Danio rerio: one gene and its partners. The main gene of each other region encodes a partner of the protein of the gene in region 3 in a complex. Links are inferred from orthologs where the notes say so. Each region holds a gene or a part of one and is shown on either strand. Other genes may lie near its edges.

Region 1 (8,309 bases), about 5.1 Mb from region 3:
CTGTAAAAGGAACCGTATAAAGTATCTCAGAATATTACACAGCACCAAAAACGTAAAAATATATATATTAAATATATTTAATATATTTTTGTCCACAGCAGACGGCAACTCGCCCTGACGCAGATTCCTGAGTCTCTGTGGTCCAATCAGGTGAGCCCTCCTCAGCGCTCGCCATGACAGCGAGACAACAGTGACGTGCCTTGTAAAAATTTGCATATGCATTCCTATAAAGCTCGTGTGCTCTGTCAGCGAGGCGGCCTTTGAGCCCTAGGCAGGGAGAACATAACCCCCGAGGACCCTCGGGGAAACACGGGCGGCCGGTAGTGGGACCTCGCTGCGAGGGTTATGGTGGGTGGGAGTAGCGAGGCCCACTCATCTTCTATTTTAAACTATAGTTTCAAACTTTAGTTTACTATAGTTTGAAATAGAAACCACGGTAACTGTTATGATTAAACCTTTAGCAAAGAGCTTAGAATGACCAAGAGCAACAGACCCGGATTCCGCCAGTTTCAAGTGATAGCGATCGCTCGTCATTGCTGTCGCGATGGATGGAAATCAGCTGCTTTTTATTTATTTATATTATTCAAAAAGCGCGTTATTGTTTCCCAAATTGTAGAGTGTCGCCTCTTGGTAATTCTATGCTCTTTGCTCCATGTCTGACTGTTGTAATGTTTTGCTTTGTTTTTCAGCTCAGTTGTTGAGCAAAGAAGGACTATTGAAGACAACAGTTGAAGACAACCGCGGGTTATATTCACGAGCGCGCGCATTATAATGTTTCCGGGCTGTTTTCTGAAAGTGTGTCTTGTTTAGATAAGTTTGCATGTCAAACTAAATAAACTATACTCTTTCTAAACACCTGTCTCGTGTTTTATTTGTCCTCTACAGCAATGCACTGTCATATAAGTCTGTTGAATGCATTTGTATGCAACATGGTTTGACAATACAGAAGTCTAACAAATAAATAGTTGTTATAAATGTACTTTCATTAGTCAACATTTGGTGTTATGGTTGTTTCATAACTATATTTATTATTATTCTGTATGTTTAAAACCAGCAAATTATACTATATATTTAACATGTCACATATTCTTCTTATTCTTCATTAGGCTTGATCCGTAAATTGTGTATTTTATAAACTGATCGTTTATAAGGACTAAGCTATTAATAACTGTAATTCCTCGAATGGAAAAAGTCTTGATTAAAGAAAAAGAGAACTTAATTCGACATATTCATATAGTGCGCTTATTTCTGCCGAATTACCTTTTTTATTTTTTTGCACTATAAATGCATCTGGCAGCACCGAAAAGAGCAAATGTCAAGTTATTAGCGCAGCGCACAGACAGCTAGCTCGTCTAGTCTGAACCAGGGGTTTTCAAACTATTCATTGCACACCGATCCCATTGCATTTTATTTAGGATAAACCACTTATTTAAAATTAATTAATTAAAAGGTGCGTACTCTCCAATACACCACTGAATTATAGTGTCATAATATTTAATAATTATAATTAAGATAGACACCTGACCTCCATTTAATAAACAATTTATTTGCCATACTCTGTTAATTTGAAGTTTAAAGTTTAAATCATTTATGTTAAACTTAAATTATTTAAAAACTTAAAAAGACTTAAATTTAGTCATTTAAGACATTTTAGGTCATAAGTTTACATACATTGACCGTTGCATTTAGTAGGCCTATTCTGGTCTAAATAAGCTTTTTGCATCTTAGGTGTTTACACACACAATTAAGCAGTTTATACGTACATTTAATGTTACTTTGAAATTACTTTTGATGGAATAAATAATCCTAAATAGTTGAAAGTGTTAACATATTCTTGAAATGTAGTTATTTTATAACTATGAAATTTATTACTAAACAAAGTGAATCATTATGAATTTGCCAAGAAATAATCCACTTTACCACTGTAAAGCAATGCCCCACACTCACTAGAACGGTAGAACCTGGACTGTATGATATGTTCTGTATGTAAAATAGAGAAAATAAGCAAGATGCGCAGTCTCATGCTGCCTTAGTGAAATATAGTGCGTCACAGCAATGAACTAAAAATAAAACCACCCTTGAAATGCTGGCGATCTTAATTTTTTCAGCCTACACTGACTGAGAATAATGTTGCACTATTTTATTAACAAATAATTAGAATGTTTTTTTTTTTCCTTCAACACATTCATCATTACTTTTGCCTGTGCAAGTTTTTTGCACGCGCTTGAGCGCAAAGGCATCTATTTTCAGGTGCAAGATGCCACTTTGGGTGGCACCAGCACACTCTGCCACACCTGTGGCTATGTCTCTGCTACAATAATAATAACAACAATAACGACAAAATAATAATAAAAAATAATAATAATAAGACAGGCCTACTTTGACGTTGCAATAAAAAAGTATTAATTATCAAATAAATATTTACAATAGGCTAAAGGCATATATTAAATTAAAATAGGAGAAAATCCAATAGAAACAAATGGTACCATTTATTATAGCCCCATGCAGGGTCCAATGTGTTCTTACAACCATTGAATAACTAAGTAAATAATAATAATAACAATACTAATAATAATAGGCCTAATAATAATAATAATAATAATAATAATAATAATAATAAATTATTATTTTATACAGAGTAGGCTATTATTTAGGCCTACAATAGCTCTGAAACAATCATGTAAACTAGGTGCTGCTCGGAAATGGCTATCTTTGCTCAGCATCAGGTGCACAGCAGCAAGAAGCTTGGCAGTGAACTATGACCTTATTTTAATGACAAATGTCTAAGAATACTGCTGATTTACGTTTTTATTTAATTTATACATACGCAATGAATGTAAGCCTGCTAACTGTGTGTGGTTCAAATGATAGAATATGTAAACTTTGTTTATATATATAATTAAATAATAATAATTAAAAGCCTGCGTGTAAGGCTTTTATTTTGAGAGTGACGTCACGAGCGCAGATTTGGTTAACCAATTAGAGGAAAGTGGGCGTTTCAGCACCGCCTACATGTGTAAAAAGAATTTTAAAGTCGTTTATCCGTTTTCCTACCCTAAACCAAAAAAACGAAAAACCCAGCCAAAATCTCGTTTTTTCGTTTTCTCGTGAGCAAAAGAAAAACGGAAAAACGTCCGTTTTCTCCATTTCCTTTATTCCGTTTGAAAATGAAAAACAAATGAACAAAACGTACACGGACCTACACGGACCTTTTAAGCACTAGCTTTATTTTTGTCATTGTTATCCTATTGTACTTTTAATTTTATATTTTCCATTTTTACTTTTAAGTTGTAGTTGAAGTATTAATAATTTTAATTTGTACATTTTTTATTTATCTGTTTTTTATGCCTATATAGCTTGTCTTTATTTTAGTTTATGTTAGTTGAATTAGCAATTAGCTAAATTTTTCTTTTTTAAATATTTCTCAAATGATGTTGAACAGAGCAAGGAAATTTTCACAGTATGTCTGATAATATTTTTTTCTTCTAGAGGAAGTCTTTGTTTTATGTTGGCAAGAATAATATCAGCTTAGAATTTTTTTAAAAGCCATTTTAAGGTAAAATTATACTATAATCATCCTATCTGTCTGTCTATCTATCTATCTATCTATCTATCTATCTATCTATCTATCTATCTATCTATCTATCTATCTATCTATCTATCTATCTATCTATCTATCTATCTATCTATCTATCTATCTATCTATCTATCTATCTATCTATCTGTCTATCTGTCTGTCTGTCTGTCTGTCTATCTATTTATCTATAAACTGTTATAAAAAAAATATTATAAAAGTGTGTTATACAATTGCTTAAGAAAACTTTCTTTAATAAAAGTATATACATTTATTGTTCTGTGTTTATTGTAGTTTACTTTTGGGGTTATTTCATGTGACCAACCAATTGTTCAGGTAACCAAGTAACATGAAAGGTAAATGTTGACAAAAGTGTCTCAGGTTATTGTTACACTGACAGCAGGAAATCATCTACCATTCACAGTGACTCTCTCACCGCTTTTATAATGGCATTTTTGCAAGATTCAGATGCGATTTTTAGAGACTACATTATTAAACATTCACTACCTCAGATTTACAAGGTGATTTAGGTTTGTTTTTAAAATAATTTTAGTTTATTTTAAGTTGTAACTTTATTGATTTTACATTTGAAAAAATATTTTATTTCATATTTCAATGTATTTAAAAAATATTTTAAAAATTTAACTGTATTTTGATTTGAAGTGGTTCTTGTTGTTGTAGTTATTGTTGTATATATATTATTCCATTTTATCTAGGCTTTACTTTCTGGCTTATGTGTCTCATGTCCTGAAGATCCTTTACACTTTATGGAGGAAAAAATACTATCAATCCTACAGGATCAAGATTTTGAGATTGTCTGGTATGTTGGCTTCTTTATATATTTGTTTCATTAAACTATAAATAAATTGTGCCTTTTTATTGCAAAATCAAGTTCAGGTTAATATTCCTAAACATGTTTTTTTTTATATATTTCAGGCACACATTTATTGACAAAGACAAACAAATCTCCTCATTGGCAGGAGGCATTGTGAATTATATTTTTGGATATCCAGAAGACAGCCTGGTAAAACTCTCTTTGTATGTTTTTATTCAGAGTGAATGTTTATAAGCATAAACTCATTTCATTTTCCTCCCTCATAGAATCTGTCACATTTGCTGGAGAAAGCTTACACTTGTTACCACACCAATCTGACCAAAATGTGTTTCACGTAAGTCTTTAAAGTACAGAATAAATTATTTAAAAGTCAGCTCTTTTAATATCTTGTCTTTTCATATTAAAGGGGTTGGAAGAGTTACATCTGGCAGAAAAAGATGAAGGCTGCCCGGCTCCTTGAAAGAATGGAGGAGGCTGAGATGTATCACACACAGAGAAGGATAAAACTGGCTTTCATAAAGTGGACAGCATGGGTTCAGTTTCAGAAACAGCGATGGAAAGGTATTTAGCTTTCATGGTCTATAATACAAACAGATGATATTGGAGATACTTTAAATATTTCAGAAATCCCAGTCAAATTTAGTTATACATGTGCCCCTGGATGCTTGATTCTGATTCCTTGAATATTGTGAATTGAAAACGGGAAAACTCACCTATGAAATTGTACAATAATTATGTAATCTGTAAAAAAAATAATAATTCCGGTTATGAACATTTTAAATTATAATAAATAATAATAATTGCAAGTCATTTTTGGAGAAAGATTAAGTAATCCAGATAAAATGTAACCCATTACTGTCAGCAGGTACTGTTTATTACAGGCCCGCTAAAAGCACATGTTGGATTGTCAGAACACTATTATATATTTTGTACTTATGTACTTACATTATGCCAAAAGTTTTGTTTAATGTTCAAATAATAATAATAATAATATTTGACATCATAAACCCTTCATTTTTGAAAACTTGATGATTACACACACGATCACGACATCCGCAAACTAAGCCTTTGTTTGTTGTGAATGGACGCCCTCTAGAGCGGAGAAAATTACTTAATGTGCCTTTGAATGCTTGATCATAATTGGCTATAAATTGTGAATCAGTGAGACTGAGATGTTGAGGTAAGTTTCAAAAAAGTCTTTATAAACCTAAAAGATCAGAATAAACTGGAGGTTTCTTAGACTTTTTTTTCAGTGTGTTGATGTACAGTACTTCCAATTTAATCTAAAAGCAGGTACTGAGTAGAGGGCAGTGCTTTTTATTCCCTCATAGCAAACTAATGGTAGAGGGGCATGGTTAAGAATGTTGTGGCTGAAGCCATCATTCTGACATCAACAGAGAAAGACCCCCCCCTCCAAAAATCAATGCAAATGGTCAGATTTGGACTGAAGATTTGTTAAAGTACTAGCACTCTACTTGTTGTAATGATATAATCACTGAAGGGTTTGACATTTTGATTCAGTGTATTACTGTACTTTAATGATGACGTCATGTTTTTTTTTTACATGCTTTACGTTTCCATGTTATACTGTTGTTGTTTTTTTTATAAGGAAGTTTTACCATCTCATGTTCATACTGTACAGAGAGAGCACGTGAAGGTCAGAAATAAAAAGGCACTGCTAAAAACGATTCATTCTGTCTAATGATTAATCTACGCACTCAAAGCTCAACAAGATTACTCAAACAAACTTTTTTTTCAGTGGATTAATTGTTTACCCAAAGAATTACAATGTGCGATATGCAAAACAAACATTGTAAATTTTGATTTCACTCAGACTCAGAAAGCATACATCCATAAAAAGGCCTCAAGGTACAACACTGTGTTCTTAACAACTTTAATAAGTTAAAGAATTATAGCATTTTTCAATTTTTTTTGTCATGGGTTTCTCAATGCAACTCTCTGATTGATTTTCTGATTAAAAAATAAAATAAATAAATAAAAATGCTGAATTTATATGAATAAATGGATTCAACAAAAGGTAAAATTAGCAAACTAAAATATTCCGGAAGTCAAGGACAGCTCTTTCAGCTTATCTTCCTTTGTAGAGGATGAATAAATAATGGCAATAATGGCAGAATTTTGTTTTCTTTTTGGTACATTTAAATACATTTAAATCTCACAGTACTTCACTTCATAAGCTCTAAAATAACATTTTGCAAATAAAGTAGCAACAGAGACTTGGGATGAAATGCAAAATCTAGTGTCAAAAGACGGACACATATCTTGAAATAAAATCAGCACAATGTCTTTAGTAACCATTGTATAAGTGGAGTTATTTGTAATATATGTTACAATAAAGTTAGTAACTACACTGAAAAAAAAATTTAATCATTGGATTTACTGAATTGTTTTAAGGTAACTGGTTTAAACAATTTATATGGGCTCATTTTAAGCAAACAAATTAAGTTGAACATTACTAAATGTAATTTGTTTGTTTAAATTCTGCCCATATGCTTTTTTTTTACTAGTTTGCATGTTACCATATAAATTTAGTGTGTTATTATTTCTGTTCTCTCTATATATCATGAAACAAGGCATTCTTTAATTTATCTAGATGCAGAGAGGAAACTACAGAAGGTTCAAGAGTCTGTACACTGCAGAAAAATCATCACGGCTTGGCGTCATGTTGTGCAGGACGCTAAAAGAACAAAGGAATACTTTAAGGTATAATTATTAAAACAATCAGCTAAACCCAAATGCATTGAATTCATGAGATATTCAGCTATTATACATGTCTGTTCAGAAACTAGAAAGAGATATGAAGGAAAGCCAGAACTCAGGCATACCACAGGGTGATGGACAGGACAATCTGTCACTGCTGCCCAACAGGCTGTTTCTCAAGGTATCATTTGACTACCACTAACTGTTAAATAACTGGCAAAAACGTACAATCAGCTGTGATTGAAATGAACCGTTTGGTGCAGATCTTCCAAAGTCTAGGTGTGCGAGACCTGCTGAAATGTGCTCAGGTTTGTCAATCATGGAAAGCAATCACTCAAATCAGCTCACTGTGGACTGAGGTTAGTGCAGCTGACCTAAAAACTGTCAAATTTTCCCTTTAGAATTTAGAAGTGCATGTTTAATATTTGTATACATAAAATCTTTAAGAATATAGTAAAAGTATATAAGAAAATCAACAGATTTGCCCTTTTTTAAACACAATGATGTTATATTAATAATTATATTAAAGCATATTGTGTACTTGCACTTGAAAGTGTTGTTTCATTTGTGACAATGCATGAAAATATAAGATGCTCATTAAATACAAGGCAGATTCAATGAAATGTCAGTTAGTAATGCTTTAACATCACCCTCATTGAACCCTCATGTTCCAAATTTAAATTACCTTCTTATGTGGAATTAAGGTAAAAGCTAACAAGATTTATTTCCCATTGAACTCACAGACAAAAAATATTATATCAATTGGAAATCAAAATGAGGAAATTTTTATGGTAAAACTTAATGTTGTCTTGACAAAGATTTCTAAATTTTTATGTTGTTAGATGTTAGAGAAATTATTAACATGAATTAGTATGTTTGTAACATGATTTAGCATGTTGTTTATTTTATAACAAGCACTATTACTGTATGTTGCTAGCTAGACTTTTGTTTGTGTGCCTCTCACATGAATTAGCATGTTGCTCGCATATTTCAAACAACAATCTACATGTTTCAAACTTAAATATATGTATCTAACATGAACTGGCATATCTTGTTGTTAGCAATTAGCATGCTGTTACCATGTTTATAATTTAAAATACCATCTTTCTAATATGAATAAAAAGTATTAGTATGTTAACTATGCTTTATTAGTGAATTTGCATTTATGCTTCTAACAAT
Region 2 (8,564 bases), on a different chromosome or scaffold from region 3:
AAATTGTAAATAATACATTTTAAAATACACTAATTATATAGTTTACTCCAAATATTTCAGAAAAAGTTTATTTATTTTTCTCTTTATTGTCTATTAAGATGAAAAAAAAAAACATTTATTTATTCTTTTTTTTTTTTTTTGGGGGGGGGGGTATAATAATAATAATAATAATGGGGTTGAATGTATATATTTTCACCCCACTTTTGGTAAAATTATATATATATATATATATATATATATATATATATATATATATATATATATATATATATATATATATATATATATATATATATACATACATACATATATTAGTAAACCTGCAAGTAGTTTTATTTATAGAATCTAAAGTATTTAAAAATACAAGTCCACATTTTAAATAATTAAGCATCACATATTTTTTTCATACTTAATTCTTTCTACAGTGCTTGTTTAGAAAGACTGTATTCCTATTCTCACGTTGTGGTTAGGGATTAATCATTTTTAAACTAGTCACGTGATTCTCCGTCCACCGTTTAGCCTCATGCTGTTAACCTGGTTTCAGTTAATTATGGTCATCTGTTTGCCCTGAATGTGGTGAGGCAAAAGCCCATTTCCAGCTGCTCTGCCAACAGGTGTGTGTGTGTGCGACTGTCTGAGCTCTCACCATTTATATCCTACTGGCCTGTCAGTCAGTCTGGAGGCTTTGTAAATACTTAAGACATTTGTTACAGGCATTTGCAATTGTAGAGGGACATTTAAGTGTTGTGGTTTAATCCTGCCGCACGTGCTCTACGTGTTATCTATTGAAGTAGACTACTCTGCGTTCTGTTAGTACAGCCTGACATGCGCGGAGCATTATCCCGCGTTCTGCTGCCCTCTGCTGTTTAGAAAAAGTAACATACACGAAAGCTAATATTTTAATGGGATATGGCTCCATAAACTAAAAATTTTCTCACTATCAGTTCAGACTCCCATTGTAGGAACTAAATAGTATGGAAGTGGCTGTTTTATTTCCCCCAAACATTTTTTCAGTAAATCTTCCTTTGTGTTAAGACGATAAAGTTGAACTAGGTTTGGAACAAGTGGAGGCTGAGTAGGCTTAAAAATGAAATGTAGCCTAATTTTATGGTCAACTGCAGTATTTAAGTTTAAAGGTACATTACTTAAAGGTACAGTACCTTTAAGTTTGAGGTTTGAAGAAAACAGTAAGATTTTCAGTGTAAAGGAACAGGAGATAGAAGTACAGTCCGCAGGGGGTTATTATTGTGTGGTTCGAAAAACGCCTCTCAATGGCAAAGGTCCAGAGTTTGTCCCATGAGCTTACTTGTCTAATTTTGACTGCTTCACCATCATAAATTGTGAAAATAACCCATTGAAAACGTCTTTAAGACTAAGCGTAAATCTCTGTTGACTGTCACATTAGTATGACTTCAGCTAATCAGTTTTTGTTCAAGGCAAACTATTATTTTTCATGAGTCCAACATCCAGCTGTGCACCAAAAGGGGCCCAAATTAAAAATGAATTTGAATACTAATTTGGCTAGTGCTGGTATCCATTCATTTTCAATCAAATGTACTTTTTTACTGACAACTCACAAAGCTCGTTTACTATAATTTTGTTCTATTGTGCTACCCACTGCACCACTGTACTGCCCTAAATTCATATTTCTTTATTCTAAATCTTTGGGAAATACTTTGGTAGCTCTACGTTAAATAGTGTGGCTATGATGATCAGCCGGCAAGCTAATACAGCTAAAATGCAGTATTTAAAAAAAACGAGGCAGATAACTCCAAAAAGGTCCACAATTTAGGAAGAAAACAAAACTTACATCAGTGTTTCTCAACCACGTTCCTAGGACCACCAGCTCTGCATTTTCCACCTCTCCTTAACCAAACACACCTGATTCAGATCATCAGCTCATTAGCAGAGACTACACCTGTAATGGGTGTGACAGACAAAGGCGACATTCAAAACATGCAGTGCTGGTGGTCCTCTAGGAACGTGGTTGAGAAACTCTGCCTTACACCTTCCCTGCTTAAAAATAAACAAGAAAAACAAAATACAAAAAAACAGCATATACTCTATGTTTTGATGCTGGTCTTGCTGGTTTCAATACTGGTCTAGCTGGTTTCAATGCTGGTTTTGGTCTCAATGCTTGTCTTGCTGGTTTTAATCCGGTTTTGGGGGTAAGCTTAAATGAGTAATGAAACAGTGATAGAAGTACAGCTCCATGGCCAGGGGGTTATTTGGTGGTTAGAAAGACCCTCCTCAATGACAAAGGTCCAAAGTTAGTTTGTCCAATGAGCTCATTTGTCCTATTTTGACTGCTTCACCATCATAAATTCTAAAAAAAAAAAATAACCAATTGAAAAAGGCTTTAAGACTAAGTGGAATCCTCTGTTGACCGTCACATCAGTGTGACTTCAGCTAATCAGTTTTGTTCAAGGCAAACTATTATTTTTCAACATCCAGCTGTGCAAGAAAACACAATCTGACATAAGAGAAGTCATCCTTTACTACTGGATTGTTTTTAAATAGAGAAAACATTTTACTTGTAACTTTTATTCTGAATCTTGTAACAAATATTCTTGAAATAAAAATAGCCAAAGCACTAAAATACTAATTTGGCTATCCATTAATTTTTAATCACATGTACTTTTTACAAGAGAGGCAAGACAAATCATGAAACCCTTTTATTATTATTATATTTTATCTTTTTATTTTTCAAACAGCCAAATTCTGACTGAGGAAAGTTGAATGTGCTGGCCAATTTGTTACATAAGTGACAATAGACAACAGTTTTTGTTTAAAACTTTAACAGATTTTTAAAAAATTATAATGAAATATGATGTAATAAATTTGAATATTAAAAATAAATATTTATTCATATTTCTTTATTCTAAATCTTTAGCAAATATTTTGGTAGCCTACTTTAAAAATTGTAGTTATAATGACCAGCCGACAAGCTAATCCAGCTAAAACGCAGCCTTACACTATCCCTGCTATAAAAAAAAAAACAAAAAAAAACCTAGCATACTGGTAAGGTATGTATTGTTGCTGGTATGCAGGTCTTGCTGATTTTAATGCTGGTCTTGCTGGTTTCAATGCTGGTTTTTACTGGTCTCGATGCTGGTATTGCTGGTTTTAATGCTGGTTTTGCTGGTCTCGATGCTGCTCTTGGTGTTTTTAATGCTGGTTTTTGCTGGTCTCGATCCTGGTCTTGCTGGGTTTAATGCTGGTATTGCTTGTTTCAATGCTAGTTTTGCTGGTCTCGATGCTGGTCTTGCCAGTCTCGATGCTGGTTTTGCTGGTCTCGATGCTGGTCTTGCTGGTTTCAATGCTGGTTTTGCTGGTCTCGCTGGTTTTCATGCTGGTCTTGCTGGTTTTAATGCTGGTCTCGATGCTGGTTTTGCTGGTTTCAATACTGATTTTGCTGGTCTCAATGTTGGTTTCAGCAAGACCAGCATCGAGATCAGCAAAACAAGCATCCATACCAGCAAAACCAGCATTGAAACCTGCAATACTAAATATGTCTTTATAAGCATATGTTACAACTAAAACTCTGTCTGTCACAACTTGCCCCACAGGTGGGGTAAATAGTATTTTTTACTCCTGGCACTTTTGGCAATGCACATACGTCCGGCGATCATACAACCAGTGCTCATTTGTAGGAGAGGCTTGTGTGTTGTTGGTTAAAAATATGGTTTGTCTAACCATATATTTTATATTTGGCCAAAACCAAAAAGTGTTACACGTCCCCCGCTCTCCCCATACCACATGTTTTTGGACTTATGGGGGAACCCGGAGCACCCAAAAAACACACTTACGAAAACACAGGGAGAACATGCAAACTCCACATAGAAACGCCAACTGACCCAGCCGAAGCTCGAACAAACAAACTTCTCGCTGTGAGGCGAACTACCCACTGTGCCACCGTGCAGCCCAAAACTGAGTATTGTAGACAAATCTACTGATTATAAATCTTAAAAGGGTTACCTATAAAAATACCTAGAAGTCCTGAACATTACCAATGAACAGCATGTTTAAGATAAAGAAAAACAAAATAAGTCAAAATGTCAAAATAAGTCAGTTTTGTCAATAAACCACCTTCTAGCAGACAAAAAATGCATGGAAAACTGGTCAAAACATGATGTTCATGAACGTAAATTAATTCAGTCTGTTGTAAGAACAGCCAGCAAACGGAGCGGATCTGTGTGTACAAGACGTGCTGTCATGACGACGGACGCTGTTGCTACAGCTGCACGTGTAGCGTCTTCTTCACGGCTGATTTGCCTCTTTGTTTAGAAGGATTAAAAGAAAGAAACCTTTTAATTTTATTTATATATTTATCTAAATTTCTATATAGCCCAAATCAGCAGTATGACGTCCGTGGAGGAGCTCAGAGCGTGTGCTTTGCTGCAGGATTGCGCTGATCAGCTGTCAGTGTTAGGAAATATTATACGCCCCGGAGCGGAGACTGTGAGTAACAACATCAAATTTAGGACATTTAGTAATCTGCTTCCTGCTACATTTGCTCGGTTATGCCCGATATGCTTGTTAAATTATGTTTTATATTTAGTGTCATGGCCAATAATTATTGGTGAATTAAACAAAGTTAGGATTTGTTGGTTGATAGGCTATTATATGATGTTGTTGCGTTAAACATTATTTTAAACAGTTTCAAGTCATGAAATTATTTTTAGTAGGGTAGAGCGGGGCACAAAGTAACACTTTTTGGTTTTGGTCAAATAATTGGTCAAATTCACAGCTGTCACATCCATAACGACACTTTTTTCTCATAATGCAAAAATGTCAAATAAAATAAAATCAATTCAATAGTTAGCCGACTCATATCCGTTTGATTATCATTGTTTCTTTTGGGTTGTGCAGTTTAATTAACAGAATTTCTACAAAGTCTTATGAAGACTAAACTCCCAAACATACTAAACTCTCATATATATATATATATATATATATATATATATATATATATATATATATATATATATATAGCACATTATGAGGAGGTAGCACTGGTGATCATTTAACCAGTGCTCATTTCTAGGTGAGGCGTGTGTGTTAAAAAAAAATCAAAAAAATTATATGTATATATATATAGTGCTGTAAAAAGCTAATGCGTGTACATGTAATTTGTGCATGTGTTTAAATGTGACATTCTGTAGTGCATAGTTATTGTCCAGTATGCCCACAACGTCATAAAAAAATTATATTATGTTTGATTTAGGTTGTGATGTCAGGTGACCAAAATTCTATGTCTTGCCAGTGTCTAAGGACGTTATTTTGATATCCAATAATGACGTCAAATGACGTTGATATTTTATCGATTGTAGCTTGTTAGAAAGAGACCAAAATCCACAGCTGAGCCAACATCTTAAACCAAAGTCATATTAACGTCAAATACTGACATTTATTCATCAGGTATGGCAACCAAAATCCAACGTCTGTGTCACCGACTCGGTCCCAGTCATTCCCCTCGCTGACCAGCAGAGGTCACCATCTCCGGACTTCTAACCATTACGTCATCCATTCACCCTGATCCCAGCACACCTGTTCTCCATTCCACTAATGACCCACGTACCACATATAAGCAGCTCACACACACACTTCAGTGCGAAGTCTTGTTTAGCCCCGGCCAGCATTTCTGAGCGTTCTATCCTGCCTGATCTCCCGTTTACCACTTCAGCCCGTTTCACGACTCTGCTCTGTCTTCTGCCTGCCCTCGACCAAAGCCTGTTTCCTCGGACTCTGATTCTCGCTGCCTGCCCTCGACCAAAGCCTGTTACATGGACTCTGAATCACGCTGCCTGCCTCTGACCCAAGCCTGGTAATCACTCTGCGTCTGTTATCTGCTAAACCTCCTTTGATGTGTATGTTGTATGTCCGCACAGCCGTGCGAGTTGTTGATGTTTAAGTGTGACTTAATAAATACTGCAAAATGGATCCCTCCATGTCAGTCTCCCCGTTACAGAAGACTTCGCCCAACACGGATCCCGCAGCCATCCAGGTTTTGTCTCACGAAGTCACAGCACAAGCTCAGGTATTGTCTACTTACCAACAACAACTAACACATCTAACTCAGTTAACAGACGAACTGGTGAAATCCCTACAAAACCTGCAAGCTGCTGCCACTGCGCAACCCACCGCCAACTACTCTCCAAGTCCACTTGTTGTTGCACAACCCCCGATGACTTCCGGAGTTCGATTGGCATTCCCTGACAAGTTCTCAGGTAACCCAGCAAAATGTAAAGGCTTCCTACTGCAATGTAAACTGTTTATCGCCCAACAGCCCCATCTGTTTAAGGACGAGAATGGGAAAATTGCTTTTGTGTGCTCACTGCTCACTGTAAAAGCGCTAGACTGGGCTACTGCAGTTTGGCCAGACAGTACCCCGATATTTCCCTCGTTTAATGACTTTCTCAAACGTTTCTGCACTGTGTTTGATCATCCGGAGGGTGGTCGCAACGCTGGCGAGGAGCTACTGTGCATCCAACAGGGAGATCGCTCCGCAGCTGAGTTCGCACTGCAGTTCCGCACCTTGGCAGCGCAAACTGGCTGGGCTGATGATCCGCTTACCACGCTCTACAGAACGGCTTTAAAACCAGAATTGCAGAAAGAGATGGCATGTCGTGACGAGGGAAAAACACTGGATCAACTAATCAAACTTTCTATAAGGTTAGACACTCTCCTCCGCACTCGCAATCCACTGTGCTCAATTGCTTCCAGTCCTGTATCCCCTGAGACCTCCGCTGAACCCATGCAATTGGGTAGAACCCGCCTGAACCCAGAGGAGCGAGAACGACGGAGAAGAAATCACCTGTGCATTTATTGCGGACTTCCAGGTCATACGAAGGTTTTATGTCCCCACAAGCCTCTCCCTAAAACCGTCTCGGTGAGTGCAACCACTATGTTCACTACCACTAATAATGTTATGAATTTGCCTGTCATTCTGAGAAACAATGGAGATGAAATTGAGACTATGGCCATGATCGATTCAGGAGCCGCTGGCAACTTTATTGATTACACGTTTGCCACCACTCACTCCATTCCCTTAACCTCCTGTGATTCCTCCATCGCCATCACTGCTGTAGACGGGCGCCCTTTGGGAGAGGGACACATAAAATTCCAGACTCAACCAATCTCTCTTCAAACAGGCTCTCTCCATGAAGAAGAGATTTCCCTTCTTGCCATCGAGTCCCCCAAGCACTCTGTAATTCTTGGGTTACCATGGCTACAACAACATGACCCTCAAGTCTCCTGGAGAACTGGTGAGATCACAAAATGGAGCAATCAATGCTTTACCCAATGTCTGCATTCTGTTTCCCCTGTCCAGATCAACACAATTACCAACACAGAAGACCCTGAACTCTGTCATGTTCCTGATGCTTATCATGATTTAACTGAGGCATTTAACAAACAGAAGGCTACCAAGCTCCCTCCACATCGTGAAAATGACTGTGCCATCGAACTACTACCAGGCACCACGCCCCCTCGTGGCCGCATCTTCCCCCTCTCTCAACCTGAAACTGAAGCTATGAAGAATTACATCTCTGAGGAGCTAGAAAAGGGCTTTATCCGACCATCTACCTCACCCGCTTCAGCAGGCTTTTTCTTCGTCAAGAAGAAGGATGGCAGCTTACGCCCATGCATTGATTACCGAGGCTTAAATGAGATCACAGTCAAATACCGCTACCCCTTGCCATTGGTTCCAGCCGCCCTTGAGCAACTCCGATCCGCCCAGTATTTCACTAAGTTGGACCTCCGTAGTGCATATAACCTCATCCGCATACGACAGGGAGACGAGTGGAAAACCGGGTTCTCTACAATCGACGGCCACTATGAATACCTCGTTATGCCCTTCGGCCTAGCAAACAGTCCTTCCGTGTTCCAGGCTTTTGTAAATGAGGTATTTAGAGACATGCTCAACAAATGGGTCATAGTGTATATTGACGACATCCTGGTCTACTCAAATTCGCTATCTGAGCATATTCAGCACGTCAGGGCAGTGCTCGAACACCTCATTCAAAACCAGCTATATGCAAAGATCTCCAAGTGCGAATTCCATCAGACCTGCATTTCGTTCTTGGGTTACATCATCAGTCCCGAAGGCGTGGCCATGGACCAGCAAAAGGTCGACTCCGTGACACAATGGCCACAACCCGAAACCATAAGACAACTTCAACGATTCCTGGGCTTTGCTAACTTCTACAGGCGCTTCATAAGAAACTTCAGTTCAGTCGCTGCTCCACTTACCGCCATGGTAAAAGCTAACAACGCTCGCCTCAAATGGAACCCAGACGCTGTCCGAGCGTTTACTCAGCTCAAAACCCGCTTCTCCAGTGCACCCATTCTGCGTCATCCTGATCCCGAGCAACCCTTTGTAGTTCAAATTGACGCATCCAACACTGGAATTGGAGCCATCCTGTCCCAAAGATCACTAGTTACGAAGAAGCTCCATCCCTGTGCCTTCTATTCTCGCAAACTCAACTCCGCTGAACGGAACTACGATGTGGGAAACCGAGAACTCCTCGCCATGAAAGCCGCGCTAGAAGAATGGAGACACT
Region 3 (8,334 bases):
TGGTGGATCCAAAAGTTCCAGTGAGAGATAATCAGACACAAAACTGGCACATCCTTCCCAATCGTAAAGCTCAGGATATGGAAGTAAGGAGCTTCGCAAGGTGGTGCTTACAAACTTCTGAAAATATAGTGAAGAAATACATTTTTATATAATATGATTCATGAGTATTTCACAGTTTGTTATTAGAAAATTATCTACAAAAATGAATCAATAAGTTTTTTATTTATTTAATTAGTCTATGATGTTAATTATAAATATGCAGTTTAGGCATAAACTCATAATACAATTTGCATGTATTATTCTAGATTTTAAAGTCAGATTTTTTTTTATTACATTCATTTATTAACATGCAATTTATAGATTCATAACAATTTATAACTTTAATTAAAGGGGGGAAATTATATGTATTATAGTTCAGCAGTTTTACTGTAAATAATGCTTAATACAGTAATGTATCTTAATAATATTTGTGTCTTAATCATAGCTTGTAACCAAATTTGAATGTTTTTAATTACCAACTGTAAAAATACATTTATAGAAATGTATAAATAAATAATTGATATAATTTAAAATAATAATAATGGATATCATTTAAATTTTAACTATATGCAATTTAATAAATGCATAATACTATTTTTTGCCATATTCCAAAATTGAAGTTTTACAGTAGGTCTAAAACTAAACTAATCATAATTAAATTTGATAATTAATAAATACACACAATTCAAACTTAATCATTTATTCTATACTTAACTATAAACATTATAGTTATTTATAAATTAACAAATATATTTCCATTTATAATTAAGATATGATATAAAGCATTTTTAATCAGTTTATACATTTGACCCATCTACATAAATGCACTTAAAAGTGTATAACCTATATTAATTATTCATCATGCTGCAGGGTTGTGTTTTTCTTTTTTTTCTTCTTCTCATTTGTCTTGATATTCAGATTGCCTATAAAGCTGGATAATTGTCAGATTTGCTGTATGTACCTGAACACCACACTCATTTACAGGACTCAGCAGAAGTGCTTTTCTATCAGGATACAACAGCACAAACTGCTGACGGAAGTTTTCCGCCATGGCCAGCATGAGCGTCTCCTGTGAGGAATTCTGCTTGTATGAAGACGGATATCTTGAAAGATCAACTGGAGTTCTTGGTTTCATTCTGTATTACAATAAATAAGTATAACAATAAACGTAAGCAGAGAGGATAACTGTATCGTATACTAAACATAATAAAACGATGAGAGTGATAAACACAAATAACTTTTTTTAAGAAAAATATTAAAAACTTGAAATATTATTGATCATGATTTTCAAATTTTTAATTATGATTTTAATTTATTTAATTTTAAATTTCTTGTCATATATATATATATATATATATATATATATATATATATATATATATATATATATATATATATATATATACTGTATATATATATGTATATATATACACACAAACACAGCACAAAAGTATTAGGTGAAATTTTCGATCTTTTTCAAATGAGTTTCTTAACATTTAGTTTTAATAAGTAATTTATTTCGTCTTTAACATCACACATTTTACTAGATAAATTGCAAGTTGAAGGCTAAATTATTTTAACAAAGCAAGAGTATATGTACAATTGGTCAGAATTATTAGCCCCTCTTTGAATTTTTTTTATATTTCCAAAATGATGTTTAATAGAGCAAATAATTTTACAGTATGTCTGATAATATTTTTTCTTCTGGAGAAAGTCTTATTTGTTTTAATTCGGCTAGAATGAACGCAGTTTTTAATTTTTTAAAAACCATTTTAGGGACAAAATTATTAGCCCCTTTAAGCTATTTTTTCGATAGTCTACAGAACAAACCATTGTTATATATAAACTATTGTCCTAACCATAGTCCTGATCAAAACTACTAAATGTTTTTTTTAATACAAGATTTTAACTCGTTAATTGCAGAATTCATAAATGATGTCACTGATTTGGCGAAAGAAAAACATAAAATTTCTTATTTTCAATAAAAAAAGGAGTTGGACTGGATTTTTTAAACCTTGTGCATAAAAACAGGCGTTGTTTTTGTTTACTCCATGTAGTTCGGAGAGCTGAAATGCATATTTTGATTTTTACAGAGACACCAAGGTAAGGTCACACACTCATAGACACAAATACACACTTTAATTTGCTGTTATATGCCATATAAATCTATCTAAAGTGTTAATGGTGCCAACTGATGTTCAACCTTAGAAATGACAAACTTTACTTCTTCCCAACACATCATTATATAGTGTCATAAGCCACTTTTCCACTATGGTGCTGAACCGTTCTTTATGTGGAACCATGCCAAACTGGACCAGACAGTACGGATATGGTTTCATTTTCCACTGTCGTGCTGCAACAAAGCTCTTTGAAATGTTACATAAAACACATCAGTAGTTGCCTTGGTAACGTAATGTAAACGGCTCCCTTTGTACAAAGAAATTTTAATAATAGCCAACACTAGTTTTTTTCATTTTAATATGTAAAAGCGAAAGCAACCGCATGACTTAACACTTACATTATGCCGCTCTCTTGTTTGGGCTACAAGTCACAGCACCCCTATTTATTTAGAGGTCAAATGTTGCGAGGCTCTGGGCAAGCTTTACTTGGAGTGAAAAACGACCAAAATGTATGGTGATGAATGAAAATGATTGGAGGGGAAATAAATAATATATTTCAAATATCCGTACAGAACAGAAAACAAAACAATGATAATGTAACAATAATAGTGCATTTGTATTATAGTGGCAGAAATATATTTTCACTAATAAGCACTTTCACTAATAAACTATATAGCACTTAAATAATTTCATATTTAACAATCAATTAAATTACACAGCAGTTTCATATCAAAAGTTTATTAAGATATAAAATAAACTGCATTTTGATGGTAAAATATAACCTTTTAAGCGATGTCTGTTATTTGTTTCAGTATTCAAACATTAAATAACGAATGCATCAAGGTAAATAAATAAAAATTAAATAAATTTGACCTCTTCCCAACAGGGAAAACCACCAACAATCAAAAGTGCGTGATTATATGATGTCATAGTTTGCAATTAATAAATGTGATTAATGGTAGTCAATGGGGCAGCCACAAACAGTAAATTAGGGAGAGAGAAAATCTTCTGCTGCACAAAAACTAACATTAAATAATAGGCAAGGTTGTTAATAATATTTTACATGTCCAAGACTGTGATTAAATGTTTTTTTAAAAATCCAGTGTACAATTACTTTTTATATAGAAAATAAGTAATTTTGTAGGGGGTTTTCACCATATCAGTGACATCATTTATGAATTTGGCAATTAAAGAGTTAAAATCCTGTAATTTTATAAGCAATTTAGTAGTTTTGATCAGGACTGAGGTTGATTAACAGACTTATGCAAAAATTAATAAAGAAAAAATATTAATCTGATGCACTTTTACATCAGTTTATTTCATTGGATGTTTTCATCACTAATATAAAAAAGAACAGTACATTTATTTTTGTTTTTTAATTTCAAAGCATTTTCTCCAAAATATGTCAAATAAAGATTTATTACCAAAAACCATTCTGCTAGCTGAAACACAGAGAACGTTATGACCAAATTATGACTCAAAATCACCCCAGAGTGGATGAAAACATTCTTAACATACATAAGGGACACAATATTAATTCGATTTTCTTTTAACATTTATAAATCTTTCAATAATAACAGAAAATATCCTAATCATAAAAACCTGTTATATGGAGAATTTATTTGTTGAGTGACCTAAAATAACACTGACCTGGACATGTTCCTAACACGTTTTGCACAGATAAAGACAAACAAGTATAGTGTAAAACAAACAACAAGCGCGACCCTGTTCTCTGTGCACTAATGTACCCTGTAGTTTTTTTGTTAAAGTGAAACAGTTTGACTTTGGTCTACTAGCCCACAGTTGATACACCACTCATGTTTATGGCTAATGATTACAAACACTGTAAACAGCCAGCGTCCATTTACGAGAAGCCCCTGTGGAGAAACGCGAGCTTTCATGAACACACGAGTTTGCCACATGCTGATGAACTTTAATAACCTCACATGTGTGGAAGGTCTGGAGTCAATCGTATGTTATTATTAAGGCTGCTTTCAAGTTCCCGAAACCCCTTCTTTTCTTCATCATCTGTCAGAGTCGCGTCTTCCTCACTCTCCATCTCCGGTAACACTTCCATCTAATGAATTAATAAAGCAATAATTATACAGACAGACGAGAGAGGAGAAAGCAGGTCGATGACTGAAACATTAAACACATACATCTTGTTACTTTTACAGTTAGCAGTTTAAAGACTTACTGTTTATAAAAGTGAATATACGTCCCTAATCTAAATTAACTGATAAACAGTAGATTAACGTAACGAGCGGCAGGAGCGTGAAACTTTTGTTTATGTTGCGCAATTTAGTTTCCATGGCGAGGGGAGACGTGACGTAACAGCGCGGGGTGGAGTCAGCTTTTGTGTTATTTTGAATTCATTTTAAATTGTTACATTTTTAAATCAGAATAATAAATCTTCAAGTGGATCCAGGACTTTTTTACTGTATCAGACTTGAAAAGCTGAGATGCTCACTCTCTGGCTCACTAGATTCCTTTTATAAGAGTTGAGATTCCTTTCTTGACTAAGTTACACCAAAGGCCTGCCTATTACATCTGCTGCTGGCAACCTGTAACTTCTACCATTTTATTAGAAGGTTTTTTTTTTCATTATTATAATTATTATTTTAATTATTATTATTTTTACCATCTATATCCAGCTATTATTATTCATTTATTTATTTTATTTTCGGCTTAGTCCCTTTATTAATTTGGGGTCTCCACATGGGAATGAACCGTCAACTTATCCAGCATTACGCAGCAGATGCAACCCATCACTTGGAAACATCCATACACATTCACTCACACACATACACTACGAACAATTTAACCTACTACCCAATTCACCTGTACTGCATGTCTTTGGACTTGTGGGGGAAACCGGAGCACCCGGAGGAAACCCACGCCAACATGGGGAGAATATGCAAACTCCACATAGAACTGCCAACTGACCCAGTCGAGGCTCCATTATTATTTTGTCATGTATTCAATTTTTTTATTTTGGCATTTATTTATTTATTTGATGTTGTTGTTTTGTTAATTGAGTTAATGAATGAGAGGTTAGGGGATGGGATTAACCATGGACAATACATTACCGTTACCTCTCACTATTTAATTTGTATTGTCAGACAAAAGACTAATAAAAAAGACTGAAAAAAATCTTAGGTGAGTAAAGAAACATCTAATTAAAAATATTTTGTTATAAATTACTGTCACTTTTAAACTATTGCAACATTGGTGGCTAAAATATACATTTATATTTAAATTAGTTAATGTTACTGTTCCTTTATTGTGGGTGTGTATGTAGGAGCGTAAATAAAATACTCAATATTCATTTGTTTTATTGATTTTTCTAAATTTCTTTACATTCTTATAAAAATTAAAAATTTTACCTCGACAATCAAAAATGCATAATTATATGGTGTCATGGCTTTGCAATCAAAAAAATTGGTTATAATGTAAGTCAATAGGCCAAAAACAACCAAGAACAGTAAATTAGGGAGAGAAAAAATGAAAACCTTCTGTTGCACAAAAACTAACAATACATCAAAGGCAATGTTGTTACAAATCTTTCACATGTCCAAGACTGATAAAAAGTTTAAAAACTCCAGTCCACAATTATTTTTTATATTGAATTGTTTTTTTAATTTTTATATTTCTTTACATTTAATTTTATGCTTTATTTAAAGTTTTAATTTCAGCCTTAATTTAAAAAAAATTATAATTATTTCCTTAGCACAAATTGTTACATTTATGATAATAAGTTAGACAAAAAAAAAGATTATGTAGACAATAATAATAAATAGGAGTTATTTTAGTGTCTGTGATATTTGAAAATTAGTTAAAAGTATTGTAAGAATAAGGAAAATGTAAAAAAAAAAAAAAAAAAAAAAAGACTATTTATATACATGGTGTCACAGTGGAGAAGGTTGCTGGTTCAAGCCTCGGCTGGGCCAGTTGGCGTTTCTGTGTGGAGTTTGCATGTTTTCCCTGTGTAGGTGAATTGAATAAGCTAAATTGGCCGTATAGTACATGTGTATGAATGAGAGTGTATGGGTGTTTCCCAGTGTTGGGTTGCAGCTGGAAGAGCATCCGCTGCGTAAAACATATGCTGGTAAGTTGGTGGTTCTGTCTGCTGTGGTGACCCCTGATTAATAAAGGGACTAAGCCAAAAAGAAAAGAAAAGAAAAGAAAAGAAAAGAAAAGAAAAGAAAAGAAAAGAAAAGAAAAGAAAAGAAAAGAAAAGAATGAATATGTATACTGAGAGGCGCAGTGAGTAGTGCTGTCACCTCACAGTATGAAGGTCGCTGACGCTGGTTCGAGTCTTGGCTGTGTCGGTTGGCATTTAAGCGTAAATGAAATGTCAAGTACTTTCAAAATAGCCTATGCTGGCAATCAGGGGCAAATTTACCCAATAAATGAGGTAAGGTAAGCGGCCAGTAAAAGGGGCCCTGAACAATGCCAAGCAGCCTAAATTAATAATATAGCTCTTTTACAAATGTTCGATCATATTTTTTAAAATCTATATCAATTGAGATTGTAATGTTATTATTTAATTTCAAAATCGGGGGCCCGCATAAATAGTGGAACGTTTGTTCCGTACTGCACATGCAAATGTTATAATCTAATCACAAATATGGCTAATTAACTGTACATATTATTCATTTCATTCATTTTCTTTTCAGCTTAGCCCCTTCATTAATCAGGGGTCACCACAGCGGAATGAACCGCCAACTTATCCAGCATTTATTTTACACAGCAGATGCCCTTCCAGCTGCAACCCATCACTGGGAAACATCCATACACATTCATTCACACACATACACTATGGACTATTTAGCTTAGCTAATTCACCTGTACCGCATGTCTTTGTGGTATGTCTCCGGAAACCGGAGCACCCAGAGGAAACCGAACATGCAAACTCCACACAGAACTGCAAGCTGACCCAGTCGAGGCTCGAACCAGCAACCTTCTTGCTGTGAGGCGACCGTGCCACCCACTGCGTCACAGTGACGCCCTATTTGTGAATTTATTTTATTTAATTTTACATTAAGATAAAACTTCCTTTAAAATATATTTTAACATGCAGTTTATTTAAATAAAAATCGAATCTACGGAGAAAAAAAATTATCTTCAAAGAAAGAGACAGTTTTAAGTTTTAATGCTATAGGGCATACCTGGAATTGCTTTGTGTTTGTGTGTGTTTGTGTGTGTGTGGCTGTGTGGGTCACACACACACACAGGGATGAGATAATATATAATATTAGTTAGTTTTACACTTGATGTTAAAACAGACTTTTAAATGAATAAATAACATCTGTAATTTGTCTCGGGATCCACGTTGCAATCTCGACTGTAGCTAGACTGTAACTTTTTTAACTTGAAATAAAAAACTCATCAAAAACGCTTTTTACCCATTTTGTGAACAAACCTCTGCTTGTTTAGATTTTCAACTAACTCCATTGGCTTTTTATTGTTGCTTTGACTGACACAAGTCTGTTTTCTCGCGTATGTTTACACCTAAACCCACTGTCTTTGAAATAATACTCGTATAATGTAATCATGACGCATAGTGGGGGCTCCTGGCGCACTGATTGGCTCGCCGCCCCCTCGCGACGCCCCATTGGTCGCGCGCATTGATAGACGCGAGCTGAAGCGCAGCAGTCAGATCACATCCAGAGCGCCAAACACACACAGGTACACGCAAACACTATGGGAAATTCGTCTCTCTTCAGGTGTGTCGCTTTATTTCTTATTTTATTACACCAGACTTCGGGATTCTGGCTTTTCAATGTTATCTTCCCTCCGACGGCCAAACCTCGCGTCATAAATAACAGCACTCCTCCACTTATCATTGGTAAGACAACTTAAATGTACAGTTTGCAGTTTTTTTTGTAAAGATTTTGTGATAATGTTCATTGGTTCATTCATTTCTTTCTGTTTAAAATGCTAAGCTAGAGGAAGATAAGATATTGACAGCAAGTGCACTTTATAGACTAGTTGAAGTCCATCATTTGTTTTGTGGGTTCATCTTTGATAAGAGGTGTATTTGTTAAATATTTGACCTCTTTTTCTGAACAGTTCCTGGAAATTTAGGTAACCGCCTGGAGGCCAAAATTGACAAGCCCACACTGGTGCACTGGATGTGCTACAAGAAAAGCGAGGACTGGTTTCCTCTGTG

What was found. The genes of interacting proteins can lie anywhere in the genome.
Region 1: ccdc135 (region 3) and fbxl13 share a complex: the UniProt entries of both Homo sapiens proteins name them as parts of the nexin-dynein regulatory complex. The link is inferred for Danio rerio from reciprocal best matches to the Homo sapiens genes DRC7 and FBXL13.
Region 2: ccdc135 (region 3) and drc9 share a complex: the UniProt entries of both Homo sapiens proteins name them as parts of the nexin-dynein regulatory complex. The link is inferred for Danio rerio from reciprocal best matches to the Homo sapiens genes DRC7 and DRC9.

Annotation. Positions count from the first base shown.
Region 1 is NC_133200.1:19,759,707-19,768,015, reverse strand, and holds the start of fbxl13 (F-box and leucine-rich repeat protein 13), read left to right. Parts: upstream 1-3,967; 5' UTR 3,968-4,020; coding exon 4,021-4,095; intron 4,096-4,290; coding exon 4,291-4,394; intron 4,395-4,510; coding exon 4,511-4,598; intron 4,599-4,675; coding exon 4,676-4,743; intron 4,744-4,815; coding exon 4,816-4,970; intron 4,971-7,023; coding exon 7,024-7,133; intron 7,134-7,212; coding exon 7,213-7,311; intron 7,312-7,393; coding exon 7,394-7,489; intron 7,490-8,309. UniProt on the Homo sapiens protein: Substrate-recognition component of the SCF (SKP1-CUL1-F-box protein)-type E3 ubiquitin ligase complex.
Region 2 is NC_133193.1:29,336,247-29,344,810, reverse strand, and holds the start of drc9 (dynein regulatory complex protein 9), read left to right. Parts: upstream 1-4,222; 5' UTR 4,223-4,362; coding exon 4,363-4,461; intron 4,462-8,564. UniProt on the Homo sapiens protein: Component of the nexin-dynein regulatory complex (N-DRC), a key regulator of ciliary/flagellar motility which maintains the alignment and integrity of the distal axoneme and regulates microtubule sliding in motile axonemes.
Region 3 is NC_133200.1:14,658,981-14,667,314, reverse strand, and holds the start of ccdc135 (dynein regulatory complex subunit 7), read right to left. Parts: upstream 4,463-8,334; 5' UTR 4,357-4,462; intron 4,237-4,356; coding exon 4,106-4,236; intron 1,176-4,105; coding exon 1,001-1,175; intron 118-1,000; coding exon 1-117. Other genes in the region: lcat (phosphatidylcholine-sterol acyltransferase precursor), read left to right, coding at 7,866-8,010, 8,235-8,334. UniProt on the Homo sapiens protein: Component of the nexin-dynein regulatory complex (N-DRC) a key regulator of ciliary/flagellar motility which maintains the alignment and integrity of the distal axoneme and regulates microtubule sliding in motile axonemes.